2 linked regions of the Oryza sativa Japonica Group genome follow. The protein of the gene in region 2 binds, or shares a complex with, the protein of the main gene of each other region. Links are inferred from orthologs where the notes say so. Each region holds a gene or a part of one and is shown on either strand. Other genes may lie near its edges.

Region 1 (2,582 bases), on a different chromosome or scaffold from region 2:
AATATCAATGTGGATAATATGTTTGCTTTAACCCATGCACATGAGTTGTTTGGCTGCCACCTTGTGCGTGCCACTACACATCTATATTGTTGTGCACATTTTTTTCTCAAAGTACCTATGGTGCTTAGACTGCTGGGCATATAGTGCTTAACTGCTGGTTTAGTGTAACATAATTGCGGTTACATACTTTTTATTGGGAATAATCTGATGCTTTGGGACATATTTCTTACTGCTATATTCTGAAATTTCTGGTGAACATGTTGATGCTGTACTAACTATTGCTAAATCGTGTCTTTTTCCAGACCACAAAACGCACTATCCCCTTCCTTTTTGTTCGAGGTGATGGTGTCATTTTGGTTTCTCCACCCCTCCGAACGGCATGAAGTATGAAGGAAGCTCCTGCCGATTGTCAACCATGAGTAATGTGTATTTTTTAATCAATGGCATGTGTTATGTGCTGAAGTGCTACTATTTCTGATGGATTCTAGTTTTAGCATATGATACAATTGTGTAACAATTTCTGATCGAGGTGCTAGTTTCTACTGTCATGTTGAATCAACCTTTTGTTACCAGATTAATCAACTCAATCCCGAAGCACTAATATTTGTTGTGGTGATGTCTTGCGTAATTTTTGTAGATCCACATGCCAAGAACACCCTGTTCCAATCTCTATTAAAAAAGAGCCAGCAAGTTGTAACATTTTTACAGCGTATATGATTCACATCACAACACCCAGCCAAACAGGGAACGTATCACCGTCCCAAGACTTATCACAGCCAAACAGCCAAACAGCCACACGGCAGCGGTGTCTCCAGGGCTTGCAGAAAAGACACATTTTACATGATCATTTCATTAGCTACAAAAAGAGATCTATAAACTATTCACTGACCAGCAAAGTCAATCTTCATTCCAGCCATGCTTGAATTCGCCCCAAATCCTCACGCCCGGTCATGAAATTGTATCCATCTAAAGTTCTAAACAGCAAGCCAACAACACAAAAAGTACGACACAAAGTATTAGCCAAAAATATTCGAATTTCTTCGGGAAACATGAATGGATTTAACTAAATTTCACCACATAGAAAAGAATGAATTTAGCGAAAATTCACCACCATAGAAAAGAGAATGCCCGGGATCAAACCGAAGATTCGATTCCCAATCCAGCGGAGAGATTGGGAAGAACAAAAAACCTTTTCATGATTCCCAATCCACATCAAGTAGGAATATTTCTGGTAACTGAAAGAGGTCAAATAAAGGAGAGGGTGAAACGGCCGGCGCCATCCCAAGTCGTCTTCCTCCTTCGCTCAACCCGCAGAAGAACACAGATTCGAAGAGGCAGAGGCGGCGAAGAGACGCGCGAGCCATGGGCGTCACCAAGGAGGATGTCGAGGCCGCCATCACCTCCTCCCTCAGCCCTTCCAGCCTCGTGAGTCTCTCTTCCCTAAACCCTCGCCGCTTATCCATCATCCTTTTGCCGTTCTAAACCCTAACTGCCGCTTCTGCTTTGGTTCCACGGTTTCAGGTGGTGACGGATACTTCCGGCGGGTAATTCCTCACCCCCAAACTCCAATTGTTCTTCACCTTTGTATAGGAGTATTTAATTTGCTTGCTTCCATTGTTACGAACGAAAGAGAAGAGATCTTGTGTTTGGTGACTGGTTGATCGATTGGTGTGAAGGTGCGGCGCGAGCTACGAGATTGAGGTGGTGTCGGAGAAGTTCGAGGGGAAGCGGCTGCTGGAGCGGCACCGGATGGTGAACACCGCGCTGGCGCCGCACATGGCGGAGATCCACGCCGTCTCCATCAAGAAGGCGCTCACCCCTGCTCAGGCGCAGCCCCAGCCGGAGCCGGCCGCCGATAAGGCGCCCCAGGCTTAAGTAGTTCTTGAACTCACACCTCCAAACTGTTCGATCACATATGCACCACGAGTGAACCGATGCACTTGGTGTAGCGTTTGTCATGGGTGTTTGAGATGTGCGTCAGCTCTCTCTGCTTGAATAATGTGCATACAATGGCAGAATTGGAATGATACTATGCTTGACTGCTTAGAAATTTCAGTAACTTTGCGTGCTTCCCGCGTCATGTGCTTGGCAGTTGATCCTATTTCACAATTTTGCCAATAAATTGCCGTCTAGATAATGATCCTATTTCGCAACTTTGCCGATAAATTGTCATCTAGTTAATATTTAGTCCTAGGACTTGGATTGTTTTCCCCTCGAACTAGGTTGTTTGATTGTAGAGATAAAGTGCAGTTGCTTCATGATTGATCTAGTATTGTTTATTGCTGCTACTATAAGTTGACTGGCTCACAGCCTGACATAGTTGCTAGTATCTACTAGGGGTTCTATAATGCCACATTGTTTTACTTGAGCATTTAGTCTCTGTATTTTTGGTGAAGCCGACAAATATTAAGAATAAACTATTCTCACTGCTTGCTGGACCAATAAAACTGGATATGATCATACAATTGTGTTTGGTGCTAGGTGTATGATGGCTTTTAGTTTATGTGATAAGTAGTTCTCAGCTAGTTTGGGGACAATAAAGTGGTAACTAGTTTAAAATCATATCGTTGTGTTGTAAGTGC
Region 2 (3,971 bases):
GCAGCTCGCGCAAGTGTGCGTTCACTGCGGCCGAGTCCACGAGAATGGTCTTGACAAGATCCGATGCGCGCGTAGGAGGCCATGCTCTCGTTGTGGTCTTGTTCACAGAGAATATGCGCAAGAGGCAGCAGGCGCCAAAACGCTCAAAACCAGCTGCAAGATGCACCAAAAAATTTTCTATACCAAGCACGAACGAGCGAAAAAATCAGCTTACAAAACTTCAGCGCGCGCGCGAGCGAAAATGACATAAAAAAAATCCTGCATGCACGGCTACAATACCATGCAAAATCGGATGAAAACGAGCGCTACAAGCGCTCGAACACGGAACCATATGCTTTGGGATGGTGGCTTTAACCAAGTGAGGAGAAGTTATTCCTGATTTGATGTGTATCCGAGAGTATTTAATAAGGGTATAACAAGGGAATATGGTGACTAATTAATAAGTCATTGGTATATGCAATCCTGTCCAAAACGTCACTTAATATCAAACTGGAGGGAGTATCAGTTAAGGAGTAGTACATTTAAGAGCGATGAAAAACAAATAGATTGGACTACTTGGGCAAAAGATTTCGCTCCAAGTTTTGGATCTTTTTAGGTACAAGATCATCGCCTCAGCTCTATAAGAGAATACCATCCAGACATTTAGAGATCCAGACATTTAGAGCTGTGACATCCGAGTGTTGCAACAGGAAGTATTTGTCATCAATATTAAAATTTATTAGTCATGAGTACAATTGCACGTTCGAGTTGGACCTCACTGCTTGATGAATTGAACTGTTGACAATCTTAGCATCACCAGTTCTTTGTCATGGCTGAAGAGTACATCGTAAAGGACCATATACCATTTATATGTACTCTATGGTGTGTTTCGACGTTTATACTAAGATAACATTGCTTTCTCTAGTGTTTCCTGCAGCTCTCCACTTTTGTATGCATCTGCAAAATATAAAACAGTGCAAACATTAAATCCAGCTGAATTGCTGAAACACTGATCATATCAAACATTCAGTAGGGAACACACACATTAATCATCCTCACATCTTGTGTGTCAATTATTCATTTGGGTTTACTCAAGTCAAGTATCTAAATATACTACCATGATGAACATTTTAAGTGATGATTTGCTACATCATGGATTTGTGTTCTCACTGGTCAGCTGGTCGCCAAGTGCACCATCCACCTTAGGGCCTGTTCACTTTGATGCCATTTTCAACCTTACCAAATTTTGGTAAAGTTGCTAAAAAAGTGGCTACATTTAGTTTGCTGCCAAATTTTGGTAACTATACAAGAAATCCTGCCAAAATTTGGTAAGGTTGAAAATTGCATTAAAGTGAATACTCCCTTAATTTCTACTACTGGGCAAGATGTATACATATTTTTTAACAGTTATTTCTTACATTATAGTAGGTTCTTGAGTATATAGGTGGCAACACTCAGAAAACTGCATGGAGCAGACCTATACAAGCTAGTTGTTCAGTGAAGAACACTAAACCAGATTATAACCAATGGTGGCACAGACAGTGGCGCTCCTACATGCAGCTTCTGGTAATTTAAACTAAATTATATCATGCTGATCAATATATCAGTTAACAATTAGGTAATTAGTATGTTGGACCCTGTTAATTTTTGTTCTCGGTTCGCCACTAGGCATGGATACTTAGGATACATCACTATTGGTGATGATTAACTGGTAATGATGAGAGGGGTGAAAGCCACGTCTCGGGTTATATATATGAATCAGGGTTCACAAGCTGCTCTTTTATGGCCAGTACAAGTAGCATATCTTGATTTAACGCAAAACCAGCGTTCAGATGATCAGATCTTCAGATACTGCGAGTATCTCATGCCATGAAAATTCTCTCTCAAAATTTATATACTCTGATAAATTCTCTCAAATTTATATACTCTGAACTATGCCTATGAGGATAGGGAATCATCAAAATTCAGAACCACAGTAAACAACAGGGACGTCTGGTCCCCTTGAAAAGTTTCTAACAGGATTCTAATGGACTAGACACGATAAGCGGGCCGCAGCATGTCTTCAGCATTAGACTAATCGTAGTGGGATAATCACAATGTGTTGGATCGAAGAGGTGAATTGGCATGTCAAACTTCTCATAACAAATCAATGCTGCTTAAAAAGATTCAATTCCTTAACAGTGAGCTTGCGTGATGTCAGGTCAAATCGGGGAGGCGGGGTGCGTACCAACGGTGATGTCGCATCCTCCGAAGAACTCGCCGTCGATGTAGAGCTGCGGGAAGGTGGGCCAGCTGGAGTACTCCTTGAGCCCCTGGCGGAGCGCCTCGTTGGCGAGCACGTCGAGCGTCTCGAAGGGCACGTCCAGCGACCGGAGTATCTGCACCACCGTGTGGGAGAATCCGCACTGCGGGAAGTCCTTGGTCCCCTTCATGAACAGCACCACCTTGTGCGACCCCACCACCTTGTCCAGCGTCGCCCTCATCTCCGGCGCCAGCCCGCCACCCCCCGCCGCCGCAAGGCACCGCGTCGACCGCGCGCGCGCCGAGCCGACGCTGAGGCGCCATGTGGGAGGGGAAGCCCTAGGGAGAAGAGGAACCCTCGCGGAGACGGGGCGCGGGAGGGATGCCCCGGGGAGAGGCGAAATCGCGGCTACGGAGGCGGCGGCGGTGGCGGCCATGGCTGGTGAAGCTCGCGCGCCGGCGGCGAGGGAGAGGGAGAGTTGGTGGCTGTGGTGATACGAGGGCAAACCTGTAATTTCCGCAGTGTTTCTTTCTTGTGGCAGAGGAGAAACTGGGAGTGGGCCTATGGGCCCTAGTGGGCCTATGGGCCCTAGTGGGCCGTACGGCCCATTTGCGCCTCCACGGGTTGGTTACAAGTTACAGCTACGAGGTGGCCGCCTCTCCTCCCCATTCGACTCCTAAAGCCCTAAACCCGTCTCTCTCCTCCTCTCACCTAGCGCCGCCGCCGCCGCCGCCGCGAACGCGAACGCGATGGCCGCAGCCGCAGTGCTCCGGAGCCATGGCGCCCGCCGCATCCTCTCCTACCCCACCCTCCGCGCCGCCGTGATCTCGGGCCCCACGGCGCTACCGGATGCGTCGGCGGCTGCGGCGGCGGCGCCCCAGCAGCCACCGCCTCTGGCTGGAACCCTGTGGGCGAGGTCCATGGCCACCTTCACCCGCACGTGAGTCCTTCTTGGATCAGATCCGTTGCTCTCCGCGCCTGGTTTTCTCTCTTCCTGTGGTTAGCATCTAGCGATCGATCCGTGTGTGACTTGTGTTTTGAATTTGTTGTATGAATCTGTCTCAGGAAGCCTCATGTGAATGTTGGCACCATTGGGCACGTCGATCATGGCAAAACCACACTCACTGCTGCGATTACCAAGGTCTGATTTGTCACATATAGTGCAAGTTCAGTTGTTTTCTTTGGAGTCCAAACAATTTCAACGCGTGAAATGCCTTTTTTATGCTCTTTGCAGGTGTTAGCTGAGGCAGGGAAGGCTAAAGCTGTTGCTTTTGACGAGATCGACAAGGCCCCGGAGGAGAAAGCAAGAGGAATCACCATTGCAACGGTGAGCCTTAGCACTAGTTTTTTCTTCATTTGGACCAGATGGTGTCCTTGTATGTCATCATGTGTAGATCAAGTCTGAGTTATGTGGTTGTGGTTGTGTAGGCTCATGTGGAGTACGAGACTGCTAAAAGGCATTATGCTCATGTGGACTGCCCAGGGCATGCTGATTATGTCAAGGTAAGTAGTTCTATTTTACTAAAGTGGAAGTTATCAAGATTATATATTGACAATCTTCACGAACAATAACCATGGATATTATGTAATACTAATTCATTGGATATTATGAAATTGCTGAGCACATTTGTAGTATGCGCTGTCAATATTAATTATTAAATCCAGTAGGCTCTTCTGATACTCAGGCTTACTGAGTTACTGTCCCGGAACTGCTAGAATCCTTAATATTGAGCAATGACCAATGACATCT

What was found. The genes of interacting proteins can lie anywhere in the genome.
Region 1: the proteins of monothiol glutaredoxin-S7, chloroplastic (region 2) and protein BOLA2 are in contact, whole or in part, in an NMR structure (PDB 2MMA), measured with the Arabidopsis thaliana proteins. The link is inferred for Oryza sativa Japonica Group from reciprocal best matches to the Arabidopsis thaliana genes CXIP1 and AT5G09830. Residues at the interface, in NP_191050.1 of Arabidopsis thaliana: Lys130, Ser133, Asn134, Trp135, Pro136, Thr137, Glu146, Phe147, Phe148, Asp152, Ile153, Glu156, Ala157, Thr160, Glu162, Glu165, Glu166; in NP_568217.1 of Arabidopsis thaliana: Arg46, Leu47, Leu48, Arg50, His51, Arg52, Asn55, Met62, Ile65, His66, Ala67, Leu68, Ser69, Ile70, Lys71, Gln74, Gln78.

Annotation. Positions count from the first base shown.
Region 1 is NC_089035.1:38,153,146-38,155,727, reverse strand, and holds protein BOLA2, read left to right. Parts: upstream 1-1,283; 5' UTR 1,284-1,362; coding exon 1,363-1,425; intron 1,426-1,521; coding exon 1,522-1,544; intron 1,545-1,676; coding exon 1,677-1,875; 3' UTR 1,876-2,080; downstream 2,081-2,582. Other genes in the region: sm-like protein LSM3A, read left to right, coding at 303-383. UniProt on the Arabidopsis thaliana protein: May act either alone or in interaction with glutaredoxin as a redox-regulated transcriptional regulator, or as a factor regulating Fe-S cluster biogenesis. The GRXS17-BOLA2 heterodimer binds a labile, oxygen sensitive iron-sulfur cluster.
Region 2 is NC_089037.1:36,807,784-36,811,754, reverse strand, and holds monothiol glutaredoxin-S7, chloroplastic, read right to left. Parts: upstream 2,733-3,971; 5' UTR 2,658-2,732; coding exon 2,207-2,657; intron 937-2,206; coding exon 881-936; 3' UTR 525-880; downstream 1-524. Other genes in the region: elongation factor Tu, mitochondrial, read left to right, coding at 2,971-3,161, 3,287-3,362, 3,456-3,548, 3,650-3,724. UniProt on the Arabidopsis thaliana protein: May only reduce GSH-thiol disulfides, but not protein disulfides. Probably involved in the regulation of the redox state of the BOLA proteins. May act as Fe-S cluster donors to Fe-S cluster-requiring proteins.